Linked DNA regions of Mytilus edulis. The protein of the gene in region 2 purifies or fractionates together with the protein of the main gene of each other region. This does not show direct contact. Links are inferred from orthologs where the notes say so. Each region holds a gene or a part of one and is shown on either strand. Other genes may lie near its edges. The genes, in order: retinal rod rhodopsin-sensitive cGMP 3',5'-cyclic phosphodiesterase subunit delta-like; phosphatidylinositol polyphosphate 5-phosphatase type IV-like.

What was found.
Region 1: the proteins of phosphatidylinositol polyphosphate 5-phosphatase type IV-like (region 2) and retinal rod rhodopsin-sensitive cGMP 3',5'-cyclic phosphodiesterase subunit delta-like purify together in Homo sapiens (affinity purification with mass spectrometry; 3 studies listed by BioGRID and IntAct, with this or other methods). This does not show direct contact. The link is inferred for Mytilus edulis from reciprocal best matches to the Homo sapiens genes INPP5E and PDE6D.

Annotation. Positions count from the first base shown.
Region 1 is NC_092356.1:54,304,134-54,314,494, forward strand, and holds the start of retinal rod rhodopsin-sensitive cGMP 3',5'-cyclic phosphodiesterase subunit delta-like, read right to left. Parts: upstream 5,145-10,361; 5' UTR 4,833-5,144; coding exon 4,792-4,832; intron 1-4,791. Other genes in the region: peroxisomal targeting signal 1 receptor-like, read left to right, coding at 7,712-7,807, 8,184-8,225, 8,884-8,919, 9,730-9,853. UniProt on the Homo sapiens protein: Promotes the release of prenylated target proteins from cellular membranes. Modulates the activity of prenylated or palmitoylated Ras family members by regulating their subcellular location.
Region 2 is NC_092345.1:8,934,692-8,945,689, reverse strand, and holds the start of phosphatidylinositol polyphosphate 5-phosphatase type IV-like, read right to left. Parts: upstream 4,066-10,998; 5' UTR 3,923-4,065; coding exon 3,838-3,922; intron 1-3,837. Other genes in the region: uncharacterized protein, read left to right, coding at 4,966-5,900. UniProt on the Homo sapiens protein: Phosphatidylinositol (PtdIns) phosphatase that specifically hydrolyzes the 5-phosphate of phosphatidylinositol-3,4,5-trisphosphate (PtdIns(3,4,5)P3), phosphatidylinositol 4,5-bisphosphate (PtdIns(4,5)P2) and phosphatidylinositol 3,5-bisphosphate (PtdIns(3,5)P2).

The DNA.
Region 1 (10,361 bases), on a different chromosome or scaffold from region 2:
TTGGTTGTAAAAAACATTATTCTAAAAACCATTTGACTGAATTGTTTCTTAATTTTTTTTAACTCAACAGTAGCAGATTCAAATAAGGGAAAAGGGGGGGGGGGGCTAAGATGAAGAAACATAGTTTGATTGGATTTTTTTTTCTGTAAACTGACTTTAACAGGTCAAATCATGTTCTGACTTCAAAGAGTCTGTCAAAACTAAACTTATTTCAACTTTTAAGTCCAGGATTTTCATATTGATTTAAAATGTATGGAACATTTTTATTTGATATATTCAATATTCAAATGCATTTTGTTTTTTAAAGATTTTCATCAAATTATCTAAAAAAAAAAAAAAAATATTGTATTATTTCTGTATTTTCATGACTTTTCTTTTCTGTTAAGTTAACACATGGAACTTAATTGTGGTTGCAAAAAAAAATTATATTTTAATAACCATTTGACTGAATTGTTTCTAAAAAAAAATCAGTAATTAATTAACTCAACAGTAGCAGATTGATATTTAGTGGGGAGGGGGATTAGAGGAAGAAAACCTAACTTTGATTGGACATTTTTTCCTGTCAACTGACTTTAACAGGTCAAATAGTGTTCTGACTTCAAAAAGTCAGTCCCATCTAAACTTATGTCAACTTTTAAGTCTAGTTTCTTCGTATTGATTTAAAAATGTACGGAAAAGCCAAATAAAAGACAGTGGAAATAAGGTCCCCATACAGCGCAATAATTAATGAGGACTATAAAAAAGTTTATTTTGCATATTGATTATTCAATATTTAAATGTATTTTGTTTTAAACTGGTCAAATTATGTTCTGACTTCAAAGAGTCAGTCAAAAACTTCACTTTAACTTATTATTACAACTGTTAAGTCCGGCATTGTCATAAATATATGCATTTAAGAACGTATGGGAAAATCAGATAAAAGACACCCAATAATAAAGTCACAATAATGAGAACTAATATTTTATATTCAAATATATTTTGTTTACAAATTTCATCAAATCATCTTTAAATTTTATTATATTTCTGTATTTTCATGACCTTTCTTTTCTGTTAAGTTAACACATGGAACTTTTGGTTGTAAAATATATTATTTCATACCATTTGACTGAATTGTTTCTAATAAACTTATCAATTAATTAACTCAACAGTAGCAGATTCAGATAAAAGGGAAAAAGGGGGGGGGGGGGCTTAGAAGAAGAAGACCTAGTTTTGATTGGATTTAATTTTCTCTGTAAACTGACTTCTTAAACAGGTCAAATCATGTTCTGACTTCAGAGAGTCAGTCAAAACTAAACTTATGTCGACTTTTAAGTCTAGGATTTTCATATTGATTTTAAAATGTATGACAAACCAGATAAAAGACTGATGAAATATGGTCCCCTCAAGTCACAATATTGAGGACTATAAAAAAAAATGTATTTGGTATATTTTATATTCAAATGTATTTTTTTTAACAAATTTCATCAAATTTATATCTTAAAAATTTATTTTATTTCTGTATTTTCATGACTTTTTTTTCTGTAAAGTTAACATATAGAACTTTTGGTTGTAAAAAATCATTATTCTAAAAACCATTTGACTGAATTGTTTCTTAAAAAAAATTAATTATCCCAACAATAGCAGATTCAGATAACGAGAAAAAAAAGGGGGGGGGGGCTAAGATGAAGAAACCTAGTTTGATCGGATTCTTTTTCTGTAAACTGACTTAAACAGGTCAAATCATGTTCTGTTAAAAAAATGTTGAGGAGAAAATACTATGAAAATCAGACTAAGTTTGGTGACTTTGTTGTCCTTCAAGAAGTGGTACATATAAATACATAATATTTTCACTACAACTATCTATTGGGTGTTTTTTAAATAGAATTTTTAGCAACATTTATAACTTTGTAATTTATGTTCAATTGTACACTTGTTATTCTTAATATATATTTTTTTGGGAACAAAATCTTGTCAGGGTTTCTTATGGTACTAGCATGACAAGAGCATTCATATTCTTAAATACTCTAAACATTAAAAACAAGTCATTATCTTCAGATTATTCTGAGTCTTTCTGGCCTTATTAAATTAAAGTCAGAACATTCAGACTTTCATAAGTCAGAACATTCAGACTTTCATAAGTCAGAACATTCTGACTTTCATAAGTCAGAACATTCAGACTTTTATAAGTCAGAACATACTGACTTCCAATGTTCTTCTCACTTCTGTAGAAACAAAGACTATCTATATTTCAAATAAAAGGTTAATGCTTTATGTGGCTAAGCATCTGGGGTAAGAATTATAGATGTGTAACTTCATAGGAAAACATATATGCCATATAATTAGGGATTGACCCTGTACATGTATGTCATTCAAATCTTCTTGAAATGACGAACAGGAATATTATATGGTTTAGGGGTGGTGATCCAGACCATTTCAAAAAGGGGGATGGGGATGACCCCCATGGACTTTCCCTTTATTTCATTTGATTTGTTGTATTGTCCCATATAATAATATATAGGCTTAAGGGGTGGGGATCTCAACCGTTTACATGTTTTCAAACATGAGGGGGTGGGGTGACCCCAAGGGACTTTATCTTTATTTCATTTGATTTGTCTTGTTGTCCCTTACACTAATATATATGGTTCAGGGGTGGGGATCTTGACCATTTACATGTTTTCACACTGTAGGGGCAACCCCCCCCCCCCCAAGGGACTTCCCCTATATTACATTGGGTTTGTTTTATTTTCCCATACAAGAATATATATAGTTTAGGGGTGGGGATCTCGACCGTTTACAAAATATAAGAACATTCGCAAATGGCAGGGGAGGGGGTAAACCCAGAGACTAGCCCGGTATATTTCATTCAAATCAATTTGACATTATAAAAAGGAATATATATGGCTGTTTACAGGTGGGGATCTCGACAATTTTCAAGATATAAGATCATTCTCAAATGACAAGGGGTGGGGCGACCCATAGAGACTAGCTTGGTATATTTCATTATACTTTACAGAGAGAAAAAATTGAGTTAAGGGGGCAGGGATCTCGACTGTTCAACATTGTCAAATGACAGGGGTAGGGTGATCACTGGAGCCTTACCCTACATTTCATTTGATTTGTTTTTAAGATCATATTCCATGTTCATAATTGAAAAACCCGTTTTGTGAATCTCTTTATAATGTTCTCAAGTTAAAATCATTTTTAAAATAAAAATAAAAAAATATTTCGGTTCTTTTAGTTAAACCCTCCCTTCCCTTTTCCTTTATTAAAATTATTCCGATTTCATTTCATTTTCATTAATATCAATATTCAAAAGATCGTTTTTCTCATTGGGAGAAACGAAAAAACAAATATATTTATAAGCCGCAAACTCGGAAAGGTTAAAAAGTCAATTCATGATTGAGTTTAAAAATAGAAAAATCACGTGATGATGTTCAGCTCGAAGCAATAATTTTACTTTTAAAATTGCACTGACTGGTTATTAATGTTAATACTGTTTAAGACAACACGAGTTGTCTCCCGAAAATAACAGTTCATTATCATAACAACATTTTCTGACCTGAACAAGTCAGAATTGTCAGACACCAGGTCATCTCAAAGGCTACGCGTCCGTATTTACAGGTCACGCGCCTTCATGAAACAGCAACAAAATCACTTGCAAAGACCTTCTTCACACGCAAAAAATATTAAAATGGCCATGAAAATACGGAGGTAATATGTATTACCTTCTGAAAATGACCACATTGACCTAGATTTTCAATAAAAAAACGTAAATAATCACTATATTTTCAATAACTTCTCGTTCGAGAAACTCCCAAAACAACAACTCTCAAACACGTGATCTCTCGCAAAAAACCACGTGATCGTATGTGTCTTAGATCGGCGGCAAATTCAAAATATCTTCTGGTTTGACGGACTCGATGGAAAACTACGCAAAACAAAAATTGACCCGTACAGGTCAGAATGTCAAAACATTTTCTGACTTGAAGAAGTCATTTTATTCTGACTTGTTTATGTCAGAGCTCTGACTGTAAGTGGGGCTATTTTTTTAAAAGTGGGTCCAGTTGGTAAACCAGTTTGGGACAACTTTTTAAAAAGTCGGTCGAGTTGGTGAAAAAGTGGGGCGGTTAGGTGTGGGGCAATGCATTTTGAAGATGTTAAATGACACTTCTTACTAAACATTCAATACTACACAAAGGTTGACCATTCCCAAAATGTGATCTTCTTCTTCTTCTTCCAGTAAGCGGCCACCGTCAACTGGTTGACTATTCTGCCACATTTATGGAGTGCGCGCATGTATGAAAAAATTTTAATTTAACAAAAACAAAAACTAGGTGAATTTTATATACAAGTGCAAATAAAAACATGTCAATTTAATTACTGACGGAGCTGAGCCTTGAAAGATTCAGGACTCGGGGCAGAGACCTTACAGTTGGGCAAGATTATTGTATGAAGCCAATAGTCCAAGAGACACAGATGCTCAAGTCAAGCAGCACCTATTTCTAAATAGTAATAGAGTGTATAATATTATAATTTACACGGTCTTCAACAGTGTCCCAAGTTTTAACACATATAAACTGTGTCTGACTGTGACAACAGAATCTGGAGAACAAAGGGATGACATGATGTCATAAAGTAAAGCTGTAGATATATACATGTAGAAAAGGTCGAGCAAAGGAATTTAAATTTGCATGTCACATAATTTAATGTAAATGTCACAAATCAGGATGTCTCTAGACGCCGATGATAGATTTGGAAATTTGTAAACATAATTGATGTGAATATATGTACAGTTATCTTGATTAAGGATACAGTTTGAATCCTTTCATTATGTCCTCTGCTTTTGATGGCATATTGATTTATAATTGTGTTTTATCAAAACTAGTCTGGTTCTATTTCACGATTCTCCAATGTCAACAATTTAGAAGTAGTTCGTTAAATTTTCCTACGCGACAATCTGTATCAAGTGAATGTTTGTATGATCGTGTTGGTTATAATGGTCAATTGTATACCGAACTCTTTAATTTGCATCAATTTTCTTAATTTTTAATCCAATTCAGTGAATATATTTAGTAAAGAAAGTAACCAGGTTGAAAATTAGTATCATTAGACCTATTTCTCGCACTTACCGGAAAGCGTCCTGTTTTCAATGAACGATGTTGTTCGGCTTATGTGGGACGATGGACTGACCTGTGTTTCTCAAAATCATAGTTAACTCTAAGAACGTGAAGGAAACCATATGTAAATATATATTGCTGTTCAGCGAATATAAATGTACTTTCTGTATTGAATCCTTCTTTTTCTATGGTTGTGGTAACTTCATTTATGAAATTTATGCAAGTCCTCCTCTTCACCTGTTCACGACTTGTAGATAATTTTCATGATACATGGATAGTGCATATAGCTAGCATTGACTTAGTCCAAATAATTATGACATCTTGAAAGTCTATTATATTTTTTTTTGTCAAAGGAAGGCATCAAAGCAAACATTTAAAATAGCCTTCCAAGATGTCATAATTATTTGGACTACCAATCTACCATTGACTCTGATCTAGCTGCGGAACTGTAGCTCTTAGGTCCTTATGTTATTTTTTGACTATTTGCGGACGGTCCGCAAATAGTCAAAAAATAACATAAGGACCTAAGAGCTACGGTTTCCGCAGCTAACTCTGATCATGACAGCTTGGGGATTATTAGTCCAAATAATTATGACGTCTTGAAAGGCTATTATATTTTTTTTCTTTGACACCTTACATCGACGATGCGTCACAGAAAAAAAATATAATAGCCTTTCAAGACTTCATGATTATTTGGACTAGGACAGTCAGGGGTATTACTTGTACAAGTTATTTTTAATTACTTGAAGAAGTAATATTAATATTCTTATATAGGTAAATTTGCTGGATACTTATACAAGTGAATTTTTTTTTACTTATTTTGGTAAAAAAAGATATTGCCTGAGTTTTGTCCCTTAGACATTTAGTTTTTTTTACTTGTAGATGTAAAAAAGTCATCCTATCTTCTTTTATTGAATTCTTATGATTTCTTTGCTCTAATAGAATTTTAAATTATCTGCCCTTTGCAGATGTCTTTACTTATCATTTAAGTGTAATTTCATGGACAATGAAAATCCCATTTGTCTGTTATCCTCAAACACTGCTTATTTATACAAGCCCCAAGGAGCAATCTTTGAAGGCCTTGCACAATTACTTAAGATCTGTGTGCAGTCAGTTTCTTTGTTAAATTAATGAGATGAAACATTGAACTCTAACAAAAAAAAAATAATGAGCAAACCTGGGAAAAATCATTTAAGGCAATGGTGTATAACACGCCTACTTTTGTTGTCAATATCATCCGTAGCAATCCTACACATCAATAACCTATAGAAAAAATGTGTTTATAATCCTATAGATATTAAATTCTATGCCACTGATTGAAACTTTTCATCAATAAAGTTTATCAGAATGTTTGCAAATAAGTGAAGAATATTTCCATTCATCAGTCTTACATTTTCATAGTGGATAACATGTGCTCCAAGGTTCTGATTTTTTCTATCTTTTTTCAAGTAAGGGTATCGAACTTCCAATAATCGAGGATACAGTTAAATTCTGCTAACTTGCCCCACTTGAGAGTTAATTTACACGCTCACCTCATTAAGTTTCAAAATAACACATGACAGAAACCCCAGTTGTCATTATTTATGTATTTTAATTTACATGATTAATTAATTCACCACATAAAAAAAGTAAATAAATATTGTGGATGAAAATTAACCGTTGCTTGATTTCATTAATGTGAATTATTTCATTCAGTTAAATGCATGAAATGATATTGTTTTATTATAAGTTGTATAATGATGATTATGCTACATACAAAAATGTATGTATATTAACATGATTAAAGTATTTTTTTCTTTTTTTCCTTTATATTTTGAAAAAACTTGTAAACATTATAACAAATGACTAGCATGCATCATCATGATTATCATACAAATGTACATTGTTTGTAAAACATGTCACATATGTTTGAAAAAATATCAAAAATCAAATTAGTAACAGACATTATGTTACATGTTATATATATTTACTAAGAAGTGATAAGAAAGGGAAGCGAATTTCAGAAGGATCTTATCATACTCATCATACTTATTGAGAGTCTTAAAACTAATGTAGATTGTATTTTAGAACCCACATCACTTAATTACCCATTTGTTGACATGACTCTCATGCACTCAGGGTTCTCGCTAAGGATTTTTGAAGGCGAGTCCAGGGGCTCTTCATTTTTAGCCATGATGAGTCCAACAGCAAGAAGAAAATATTTTATTGCAATACAATGTAATATTTTAGTCTCCATTTCCTAACAGAGCAATGAAATGACATTGAATTCATATCACTTTTAAACTTTTGCTATAAAATGATGACATTTGTGTTTAACTGTGTTAAGTTTATACAAAATATTTCAATCTTGATGCTTCTGTGGACTCACCAGTTTTAAAAATGGTGAGTCCAGACAGATTTTGATGAGTTCAGGACTCATGGACTCGCCTTAGGAAGAACCCTGCTGAAAGCAATTGAGGCTTCAACATGTTCAATAACGGGATGGCATGGTGATATTTCTAATATTCTATTGTAATTTTAGATAGACTTTTGCCATGTGTATTTGATTTTAAATATCACGACTATGCTAGTAAAATTAATTTTAATTAATACTTTTCAGATTTTTAACCTACAAAATGGCTATGAGAAATTTGGTGGAGGGGGAATGTGGAGGCTCTAATTCACTAATGAAATTGACGTCACATTTCACACAGGATAGAGGATTACGACAGGTATATGTACTTGCATATATATATATATCAGCTGAAGACTGATCTTAAAAGTATTGTATTGCAACATATTTCTTATTTAAGTTATTACAATGTTCTTGTATAGCAAATAACTAAATAATTAAAACTGAAAAAATGTTAGTTAACAGTTGAAGTGATGGTTTCTAAATATGTATTTAAATAAGTTCTTTAATTCGAACATACTAAAAGGTCTATGTAGTAACGATGAACATTTTGCATCTGTCTTTGTCATGATTGTCTGTACATGCTGTAATTGTCTGACAAAACAGCCCTTGGAGGTCAGAGTAATCTCAGACTATCATGCTTTTTAGTTATTTCTACTTTGTAAAATATTTAGAAAAAAAAAATTTACTTACAGGAAAACTTCAGTCATGGAAGAGTCCAGCACCCACAGCAAATGGTAGTATTATCTAGAATAAAGTCTTTTAATACTGAATTGGTTTTCCTCAAAGTTCAGTATCTTTGTGATTTTACTTTTAACAAATGTCAATATATATGTAGGAGGATTTGGTAATAGACAACTATCCACAAGAGACCAAATGAACAAAAGTTTTATCAACTTAGCAACAAATCAAACTGTATACATGATATAAGGAATAAAATTGAGAATGGAAATGGGGAATGTGCCAAAGAGACAACAACCCGACTGTAGAAAAGACAACAGCAGAAGGTCACCAATAGGTCTTCAATGAATATTGAAAAAGACAACACTGATTTGGTTACGTTTTTGAGATTTAGATATATATCTTATTACCATAGATTGTGTTAAGACATCTTAGATGAATTAAAAATAAGTAATCATACTTCATACATTTATTCCATTCTATATATATATGCTTTCTTCGAATAAGAAATGAGGTTCCAAATTGAAATTTGAATGTTTATCTTGTACAATTTGTCACGTTTTCCTCCCCTTTCTTATCAATTTGAATTATCTATAACATTAATTTTTCAGTCTGTTAAAAGAGTTAAATTTAATAAAGATTTGTGTTCAAATTTAATGATCAGTACATTGATAAATCATATTTAGCATGAAGTAAATACTGTATATTTTGCAGCCTGGCAGACCAATAGGACAGTCAACAGAAAATGAGGTAATTAGATATGAAGTATCAAGTGTGGATTAAGTCTTATTCAAAAGGGGGTTTCAAACATTGGAACCCCCCTGGATTCTCCAATGAGAATGGCTTATCAGGTTTTTTTTTCTCATCAAGTTTTGTTTAAGGTTTGGGACTTGGAATGGGCTATAAGATATATGCTGTGTTCATTTTACACTGTTCACAGCCTATTACATGTTATACAACATTTAAAAGGACAGTGAAATGTTTACGTGACTTACAAAATGGAAAATTAAACGGAAAAATTTCTAATACACAGAATTGCATCATATTTAAAAATACCATAAGCATTAGAAATTCTTTGGTTAATTGCAGTTCAGAGAATATAGTTTATCGAAAGAATTTTATTGTATAGACTGAATTTTCGGCTCTCCCTAGCTGACACTATTTGCGAGTTTGGTCTTGAGGAAACGATGATAGTCCGTCAGAATGGGGCATTAAATGGCTGACCCGTATTAAGAGAGAGCCATATCTCTCGCACGTTAAAGACACCCTTGTAGATTTCCAAAAAGAGCAGGCTAATGCCGCTACAAGGCAGCACTCACATCCGCAAAGTGGAAAGGAATTAATATAAGTTGCAAAACTTGTTTCCAATTCCACTATAAATAAATATGTTTTAAATAAATAAAACTATATATATTAGTTTTACATGCTAATTTTGAGAAGCTTTCTATTTCCTTTTCAATAGAACATGATTAAAATTTTCAGCTGATTTAAATAGAATTATCTCCCTTAGTGTTATGTACCACCTTAATTCAGTTAATTGTGTTTTGTTATTTTGTACAGTTAGTTGATGAGTTTCTGTCTAGTCAAAGAATTACGATGGCTCCACAGACATTCCACATGGGTGGATTACTTCAGGAAATGAGAGAAATAGAAGAAGCGGAATTCAAATACACACCTGAGAGAGGTAGGAACCAGTAAAATTATCAAATATGCAAATTAGAAAGATTGAAATATCGTATACCAAACACACAAAAATTGTTAATTGAAATATACACCTGAGAGAGGTATGATCCAGTGAAATTTTGTACTGAAATTATCACATATGCATTTAGAAAGATTCAAATATCAGAGATCAAATCACACAAGAATTGTTTATTCAAATATACATGCATCTAACATACCATAAAAATTTGTCAATCATCTGGTAAGTGAAACACAACTTATAAAAGGCATTACTTGTTGATAAATCCAGATCTCATCTGACAAGGGAAATAAATTACTGATGAATTTGAAACAAATTTGAGAAAGGAGGTATTGATTATTTCAAACATGTTATTTGTAGTGGTTTTGGGGAATTATCCATTCAATTCTTAAGAAAATTCAATTTCAGTAGTTCACTTTATCCACAAATTCCACAACAAAATAAATGTCTCTGACTCAAATAATGAAGAATTCTCAAATAAAAAAAAGTC
Region 2 (10,998 bases):
CATTATCAAGTCAAATCAATGTTTAGGCCAGGGTTTTTTTTCAAATGATTTAATTTGTCTTTGCTTGTAGACATACATGTAACCCTCGTATGCTGAAATTGTATGACAATGGCATGCATTTTGTGTTTATAACAGCTGAGCAATAATATTCCATGGAACTAAAATTTAAGAAATGATGACAAAATAGTGTACCAAACATAGTGTTAGTAAGTGGAAATACACTGTTCTGTCTTGAAAGATTTGTTTTCTCCTTTTTTTAACCGACCTGACTTTTTCATGTAAAAAATCATAAACCAACAAATTAAAAAAACTTGGTCTTATCTATCAAATTTTAAAGACTTCTATTCAATGGTCAGACTCTTTGAGTTATAAGCCAAAAACTGCATTTTACCCCTATGTTCTATTTTTAGCCATGGCGGCCATGTTTTTTGATGAAATGGGAATTAAAACACAAACTTTATTCTAGATACCCTAGGAATCAATCAGATGAAGTTTGGTTTGAATTTGTTCAGTAGTTTCAGAGGAGAAGATCTTTGAAATAGTTTACGACGACGGACGCCAAGTGATGGCAAAAGCTCACATTTCCTTTTAGGAAAGGTGCAGTCTGCACCAAAAACTTTTTCAACTACGTGTCCGAAGACCAATATCCTGACATTTTTCTTATTGGTCCAAACAAAATTTTGCAAAAACTTACTAGTCCGAATAAAATTTTACTAGTCTGGGGCATCGGACTAGTGGCTAACCGTGCAGACTGAAGGTGAGCTAAAAAAAGAAATAAACAGATCCACCTAGCTTTTATCAATTTCAGGAAACTTCTTCACACATGAAAACTAATAAAAAAAATTGCAAACACATTGTAAGAAAATTTGCTTGTGAAAAACATGCAAGTTTGTTTATTGACAGTTTATTTTGTTTTTTTTACTTTTAGATTGGCTTCTAATATGATAACATCTTGGGATGGTATTGGTTTTTCTTTGTATAAGACTATTTTTAATCAGTGTTCTTACAATTAAGCTAGGTCAGTTTAAATCATTTAGCATGTACACTGCTGGAGTTATGATATCTGTTGCAGCTCTTCTTTGCAGTTGTTCCAGGCTATTTATTTTTGCAAAAGTGTGTTGATCCCAAACTCTGCAACAATATTCTCATTTTTGGTCTAAGATAGTTTGGTAAGCTCTTTTTTGTTTGCCTGATGAATGATAATGATTAATTTGCTTTTGCTGTTGGTGTTAATTATTTATAGTATAACTAATCGCCGTATTTGAATATCAAAAATAAGACAACGCGTGACCGAACGACGCATGGATTAAACGAGTGCGCAGCAGGACTTTAGTCCATAGCGGCGTTCGGTCACAAGTTGTCTTATTTTTGATATTCAAATACGGCGATTAGTTATTCTTTTTATTACATTGGCAAATGGCTTTTTTTTATAAAATTAATGTAGAAAATGTAAGGAACTATATCTTTTTCCTACGCATTGACAATTTGTTTTGATCCGACGTTAACGACGTCTTGACAACGCCTATTGTTGTATGACGTCAGAGAGTGAAATAACCGCGTTTATTTCACATGTGAAATTATCGGTTTTTATCTAACTGGGAAATCAATGTATTCATTGCAACCAATGTAATAATATATATTTTTTTTATTGTTCTATTTGAGATAAGAAAAAAGCGAAATGCCTAGATATTTTAAATAATTTTATACTTTTTTTTGAAATTGTTATCATCATTTTGTGAGTTCATAGATCAACTTATTTAAAAATTGAAGAAAAATAAAAACAAAATAAAAAGCAAAACAGAAAACAAAATTATGAAATAAAGGCAATTATTGTTTCACTTTATTAAATTATAGATTTCTAGATATAAAAATCTATAGATCCATTGTTTAGAGTTTAAGCTTGTCTCAGGTTGAGTTACAAATGTATCTAGAAGCACATGTTAATTATCCAGATGTTCAAAATATAGAGTTCTTCCCAAGCCATGCTGAAAGATGTGATTTTACTGTTCAGTGTTGAAATTTTCAATGCAAATGTAAACTACCACTATCACACATTTTCAGAGTATATGCCCACAGGCACTTGTCTCAGAAAAAAATTTCCTATACCTTATTATAACACAAGGTACTTAACTTGCATTTTAGAAAAATGTCAGGTTGTGACGAAGTTCCGTTATATGCCGCTTTATAGGCTGTCAACCCCACTAAAACTTGTTATATCGTAAATCTAAATTGATTTATCTTTACAATGGTGTATAACATGCCTATATTTGTTGTCGGAATCATCCGTATCAATCCTACCAAAGTATGTCAATCGTAATAATTTTGCAAACCGCTGAAGAATTGGCAATACACGTCCGCAGTAAATGATATATTATAAAAATTGTTTTAAAAAAAACCTGTTAGTTTTCGTATGAATAGAACTTATCATACAGTTAGTAAAATTATATAATATACCATGAAAAAAATCTAACAAGTGTTGTTTGTGGTATGTCTAATTACACTTTTTTCAGATAGTCAGACCTCAATTGGAATTTTAACTTTAAACTGGAAATCAGAGAATTACATCAAAGTCATAAGAGAAATTAAGAAAAACATGAAAGTATTAAAGATGAATGGAATTCCATTAAATTTTGAATGGACACCTGGTCATGCTGATATCCAAGGAAATGACATTGCTGATTCACTGGCCAAAAAAGGAGCTAAAGAAGCTGAAAAAATAGAAGAACCATCAGAAGTAACCAGGCAGGATATAAAACGTGCAGCAAGAGAAAGTGTTTTAAGAAAATGGCAGAACCAATGGGAATCAAGTCAACGTGGCAGAAATTATTACAACTATCATCAAAAAGTATGTCAGAAAATACCAAAAGATTTACCATCCAAATGGTCGTTTTCAATTACAACTAGTTTGAGAACAGGTTATTGTGATCTAAATGATTATAAATCCAAAATTATACCATCATCAGACAAAAACTGTTCCTGTGGAGAGCCAGAAACTGTAGAACACGAACTTTTACATTGTTCTAACTATGAGGAGGCTAGAGAGAGGATGAGAACATCTATTTACTTTATTACAGGAAATATACACATGGATTTAGACACCTTATTAGGAATCGATGAAGAAGACATTAATAGAGACAATCGAAATGAGATATTGTGCCATCTGGAAAATTATTTAACGGAGTCTGGTAGATTCAAAAACACTATACAGCAAAAAACACTATAAATCTATATCAAAATTAAGTCAAAATTTTTTAAGCAGCAGCCACAATTTCAATTAAGTACATGAGTGAACATTACATATGTGAAGAAACTACAAAAGAGGAAACGTACACAAGTGTTTACAGTGTCATTTGGGACACTTACTAAAGACTTAAGACTAAGTTACAAATTTTTCCATGACGTCAATGTCTTGCAGACTCTCTTTTGACTTTACGTATGAAATGAAACAAGATCAGAGATAACTCCGAGAATCATTTAGACTTTCCCATAGAATTGACCAATCGGAAACCGAGATATACAAGGAGACGTGACGCGTTTATTGCCAATTCTTCAGCGGTTTGCAAAATTATTATGATTGACATACTTTGGTAGGATTGATACGGATGATTCCGACAACAAATGTAGGCATTTTATACACCATTGTAAAGATAAATCAATTTAGATTTACGATATAACAAGTTTTAGTGGGGTTAACAGCCTATAAAGCGGCATATAACGGAACTTCGTCACCACCCGACATTTTTCTAAAATGCTAGTTAAGTACCTTGTGTTATAATAAGGTATATAGGAAATTTTTTCTGAGACAAGTGCCTGTGTATATGCCTCATATCAACTTACTTGTATTGACAGAAAAACTGTTACAGCAGTGATTATCAGTATGTGAATATAAAAGTTGTGTGTGAAATTTGGGTAACACATCCATGTTTACATGTTTACCTTCTTTACTTACTGCATATCAAATTCATGCATTATTGAACATAGATAGTGTGTTTTCTTAACAACTAAAGTTGTTATGCGGATGTATGATTAATTCAGAAACCACAGTTAATCATTATTCTTGATTATTATTTACCCCGAGTAAACCATAGCAACTGTATAAATTCAGAATCAGCATCTGAGATTTATATATGCCATTATAGATTCTGAGTAATTTGACAGAGAAAACGTTGATTGGCAAAGGCTGTAAGAGAACTGATAATATCATATAAAAGTTGCATTAATGTGATAAAACACGCTTATTTACCGGCGTGTGTATTTGTTTATATCAGCAGCCACCATCTTGGAATGCAATCCACAGTGCGCAGCCTCAGTAATATTTGCAAGGTACTTAGAATCTCTGTTGCGTTTGCTGGTAAGGTAAATGTCCATTCTGTCAAGCGTTTGCTGGTGGAATGTCGTACAAAAATATTAATGTTAAAAGAAATGAAATAATATTGCATATAAGATATAACTTTGCACTCAAAAGTGTAAATACTGCATTTTTTGTACATTTCATGATGAAATACGTAGTTTTTTAATGTTGCAAATCATAACAAAACATTTACGATGCTGTTCTATTCACTCCCTCTTATTTTCGTTTTAAGATAATTACATTTTAATTAATCTTTTGGACTTCTGTTAAAAACAATCTTTTAAGAGGAAACGATTAAATTATTCCGTAATGCAAATTGTGTTTGAAATCTAGAATTGACAAATAATTAATTAAATTTGGAGGTTAAACAAAAAGTAACAGCCAAGAGGGATGTTCATGCCAACAATCATTGTTTGAAAATGGAGGAAAGGGCACATGTGTCAGGAGACTGCAGCAACCTTTTCCAATTGGATATATGGATAAAAGGAAGTTATTGATAAACTGCTTGTTATTTTATTTCAATTTAGGTTTACACTTGAGATGAATGAAAGGAAATGTCATGACAAAGTAGAAATCATATTTAAATTAAACTTAAAACTGTGAGTTGAGTAACCATGAACTCTGCTAGAGGAGCAAAATCCCCTTCAAATCATGATCTCAATATATTTTTGGATAGACAGATTCAAAATAAATTGCTGGAAATTGATGATCAGTTGTGGCTGACTGATTACATGGTTGAATCAAAAGGAAACACTGAATTAAAAGTGCCAAAAACTATTAAAGTGACCAGGAATGAGGATGTGACAGGATGGTTTAGCAGTTCAAAATGTGTTCTACGCAAACTGGAAAAGGAGAAGCCAACTCCACAACCTATTACTTACTCATGGAGAGAACAAACACGATTAAAAAACTTGATTCAAAATAGTTTCGTGTTCAAACATTATCCTTACCATCAATCATATATTGAACAATATAGGGAAGAAAATTCTCAGTTAAGTGGAATTAAAACAGTAGCCCAAAAAGAATCCAATGAACCCCGAAAAATAGCAGTTCAAAATACTGCAACAATAACAAGTGCACAAAACAATACCACTGCATCAGGAAATATTTATTCACAGAATTCTGGTCAGAATATATGCAGCCATTGCAATCAACCATATACTGTTTCAACATCACAGCCTCTCATTACTGCAGCCTTTAGTTACACACGTAGAGAAACTACCTCCCTCTCAAATGGTGCTTGTAAATGTTCTCAATCTAATTCTAACCCCATTCCTCATTCATCAAGTTCTCATACTTGCACTAAACACAATCATCACCAACACAAAGATGTGGCTAGTTTAGCCTATAAGTATAAACTTTCCAAGGAAGCATTGATGCACAATATTGCATGGAAATCAGAATCCGACAATTCAAGTGAGCATGAAAGAGATTCATTTAAAACACCAAGAGTAGCATCTGGAAAAAGATCAGCTGGAAAAGCACCTACCAAAGTTACTGTGCCATCTCTACCAAATGGTCACAATAAAAACATTCAAACAGTTACTGTGTAAGTATATAAATACATTGAATCTTGCTAGTAAAAATAGACAGATTGTACATTGTAAGTCCTTCATGGGTAGTAAAAGTTGTTCTCAGTAATCAGAAAGCTGTTGGTAGTAAATTGCCAAGTCTGTACAAAACTGTTTAAGTTCGCCATGATATTATAGCTACATGTACTGGGCCACTGACCCCAATACAAGTTTTTTTCCACAAAAATTCTTTATACAATGTTATTTTACAGGTTGTTGCTAGATAACATGTACATGATGTATGTATTAAGGAATTTGTTTCTGGTCCTTCTACATTTTAACTCTCCTTTCAAATTCAAAATGACAAAAATTAAAGGCTTGTTACATGCATATTAATTGTGAAAACTTCAGCTATAATCATGATAATCATACATTTAAAATTTAACATTAATTTACCTCAAATATTCAGTTACAAATGAATGTCATGAACGTATACGTACATGTATGTCTTTGAGAAAAAAATCAAAAATCAAATGACATTCAGTTTTTAGATACAAATTGTATTTAAGACATTCATGTACACATACATGTACATATATTTTGTGTATTGAACATGTTGAAAATGATGTGTTTGTCACTTTTACTTTACATGATTTTTTTAAATTCTGAATTGATGTTTGAAGGACTTGTTGGACATTTTCTACATACATTTGTACATGTACACATATAACTGTCTCAAAAACCAGCCAAGGTACAAATGTACATTGTACAGTAATGAGGGGGAGGACAGGGGTAAGGGAGACAGGGAGAAAGGGAGTAGGAGAAAGGAGAAAGAGGGTGGGAGAAAGGAGAAAGGGGGTAGGAGAAAGGAGAGGAAGGCTGGGAGAAAGGAGAAAAAGTTGGAGAAAAAAATAAAATATGAAAAAATAAAATATCTCTCTTTTTTCCGGTAAATTAAAAAAAAAAAGTAAGGAGAAGAGGGGTAGGAGAAAGGAGAAGAGAGGTGGGAGAAGGGAGAAGGGTATCCCCTGTCCTCCCCCTCAGTAATATTGTAGTACAAAATGTATGTATATGACTATGAGAAAATATAAATTAGTTTTTGAACAACTATTGATTTAAAAAATGATCATTTGGTTATTGCTTTTCATGTTTTTATTATAGGTTTGTATCATTGAGCAGTTTAACATATATTCTTAAGGAAGTATTCAGATAAAACTTTTTCATATAGATTTCGATCAGAACTATTTAACAATTGATGAAAGAAGTGTATTGGAAAAACTTGTCATTCAATTCTGAAAATCTACAATTTGAATTTTGAAAGCCTTTACAATTTTTATTTTCACCTTTAAAGATTCTCAAATTTCTAAAATAGCATGCATACAAGAAACGAAAGGTAAACATGTTAAAGAAAATTGACAAGTTTATCCATTTAAAAAGTAACATTTGATGTGGATATCTGATAAAAAGCAAGAATGACCCACTGTCAGATGTCATTGTTATCAATTACAGAATAGGTTTACTTGCTTTTTCAAATATATGGTTAATTTGATGCCCCTGAAAAATCTTACAAAGCATTTACATACATTAAATAAAAGTCCTTTATTTAAAGTATTCTTGTACAGAATTATATAAAGTTTAAAAAATGAAGATTTACATCTGTATATACATGTATGCATATTAAAGTTTCAGATCCCTAATTATATATAATTTGCCTGTTTAATCATTCATAGAACAATATAATTTTACTCCATATATATATACTGTAATATACATGTACATGATAAATGTAAAAATAAATGCGTATACACTGTACATGTATATATATATTTAAAATCAGAGCAATTACAGACTGTTTTCTGAGAAAGAAAAAAAAAGCTAGAAATAACTACATTGTCATGATTGTATTCTATATTTACAAAAATATAGATACAGGTGATTTATTAATATTTGTTTTAAAAATAGTTTGTTAAAAGAATAGAACATTGTTGTTATTTCCTTTGCAAAGATGTAATTATGAAATGAAAATTTTCCAAAAGCTTCATACAAAATAGGATTATTCAGAATAAGGGCATGGTTGTTTTTAATCCAGATTATTATGATTCACTGTACATATATATATATATATGATATATACATATATATGCGCTATAAATCATACATTGTAATAAAGCATTATGTTCAGTAAATGACAAGCGTTTAAATAATTTTCACCTTGATCTATTTTTGATTTGACAGATAGAGTCCATTTTTCATCTATTTAATCAAATTCTCACACAAAAGAATCTATAAGCAAATAAGAGGATTAAAAGCTTACTTCAGAATGCTTACAGTTGTGGGAGAATAAGAGTAGTTGAAAATTTTGTGTGACATTCTAAGTGCACTTATAAAAACCCTTACGTTTACATGTAACACCAGGGAGAAACCTTTCAATTGATAAATATATATATTTTAAATTTATTCAAAGAGACTCTTCAGGTGCAAATAATGTTTTGATTAATTTATTACTTTAAAAAGCTAGAGATATATACATGATAAAATTTATAAATCACATACATATAATTACATACGTCCTACATATAATTACATACATGACATACATAGGTGTATGTAGAACTCAAAATTATCATGATTATAGAGCAAACATAAAAGTCTTAACTCTGTACGTATACCTTTCAACATTAACATGAACATTTGCAAGTCATGACAGCACATATTAAAAGTAAAAGTACTAGCATTGACTAGCATTCCATGCATGCATTTGTACTTACATGTATTCATACAGAATATTTACATGTAGTCTGGTAAATGGAATATAGACAAACAGTAGATCTACAATTAAACATGTACAAATATGTAAGTTAATATTTAGAATAGGACAATGATTGATGTCCTTCTATGTTTGTTGCAATTATTAGATTTGCAAATTAAATGCCTAAGAAAAATGTGAAAATGCATCAGACAATTTCTTCCTAAATTGTTATGATACAATGAAGGATGCATATATTTTTTGGGAACCCAAACATTGAAATGAAAACTTAACTAGAATCAGTATAAAGTGTTAAACATTGGTATAAATTCATTTATTTAAAGAGTTATCTCCCATCCATACAGTTAAAGTTTTCAGAAACCAATATAATATTTTGGGTAGATTTTCTTCAGTATGTAAAGGAGACAGAAATCGTTGTGTGACATGGTAAACAAATTGGGTAGCATTTACAGCCTATTGCATTGGTTGTGTAGGCAAAGGTTATATCTTTGGTTAGCTTGCTTGCTAGCTGAACCGTGAAGTCATTATTAGGTATGGTATTTTACCCTCCTTTCCTTGACAACAGAAACCATTTGAAAATCAACCTTGAAAAAAGGACATAGATTTCAGTCTCATGATGTCACAAGACACATATTTCAGACTTGTCGCTATAGACTATAATCCGAATTACTTTACGGTGTGTGATATTGAAAATGCCATACAATATTCTTTAAAGGGGCCTTGGTGGCCGAGTGGTCTAATAGTTATACTGTAATCACTAGCCAGTCAACACTGAAGTTGTGAGTTTGAACCCTGTTGGTGAAGATGCCTCAACTCAAATCTTAAATGACTAGGATTGTCAGTTTTCCTATCTAAGGTCGTGGTTTTCTGCGGGCACTCCGGCCAATTTCCACCAATAAAAACTGGCCACCACAAAATAGGCTAGATGCGGTTCTTAAAATTGGTGTTGAGGCCACAATTAAAAATATTTTGATTTGTCCAATTTGACCAAACCCTACCCAAAGGATTAGACAGTGGGTAGGTAGGTAGGCATTTTCTTTTTTTTTTCAAAAAGAGAAATTGAAGTATCGGGTGTTTATTAGTCTTCATGCCTATCTGATTAAAAAAAAACTTCTTCAAATCAGGACAATAAAAGAATTTGAGTAGGCAGCTTTTTTCTTGGTAGGTAGCGTTTGGGCAAACAAACCTATTCTTTTTTATGGCCTTATTAAAACACAAAAAAACAAACCAATTGTTTTACATTATATTATTTTATTCATGAACACATGTATGTAGAGCCTAGGTGGTCAAGTGGTCTAGCACATTGGATACAGTGCAAGAGGTGGTCAAGTGGTCTAGCACATCGGATACAGTGCAAGAGGTGGTCAAGTGGTCTAGCACATCAGATACAGTGCAAGGTGATTTGGTGCTAGTGCCTGCCATGATCTCTCAGTAGCGCGAGTTTTGAATCTGGGTGAGGGAAGACCAATAAAATTGCGAAAGCAAATTTACAGATCTAACATTGTTGGGCTGATGTTTAGACGAACTATTTATGCCATACTAAGTATTTTCTAATGACCCTCACTGCATAGAACAATTTCATTTCACCTTATTTAATTATGTGACTAACAGATAGATAAATTAAATGTTTGTTAGCATTCGCAGCAATTGAATTTTTGTGAAATAATCTAAATCAATTAAATGGCAGACTAAAATACCATTTAAATTCTTCTGTTTAACATTGTTTGAGGGCAAACATAATATTAAACTCTATTAACTTTGATCTTAAAAAGATACCAGCGACTGGTATAAATGTATAATATTTAAGGCCTCCTGAAACTCGACCAATGGTGTTGATTCATGTATGCTTATCTCAGATCAAAAACGGCATTTAATTTACCAAAGAGATTTCAGTTTATTTGAATTGTCACTGAGATAACCTGATTTCAAATGTTCTCGGAAGGTCATACATGTCAAGCCCTTTACATTTAATCTGTTGTGTAAAAAAGTTGTTCTGCTGATAGTTGATACAAGTCCATGATCGATCATGTCAGTACCAGTCTGAAGTGACAAGGTGTTCCAATTCGATAGTTTGTGGACTTTTCTATTTACTTGTGAAATTGAATTATTAAGACTGTATTCAGTCCATTAAATAAATGTATGTGAAATTGATAAGAAATTTAGTGTAAATATTATTTAAAATATAGATTATAATCCTCTTAAAGAATTATTTACAGTGCATATGAAATATAAATTTTCATTATGACAAATCAATAGGTATATTGAAATTGAATGAAATAAAAGGGATATATACATTTTGTATGTAAATAAAATATTATTTCTATACATTTGGTAACATTAATCCTTTTGAATAAGTTAATGTTATGTTT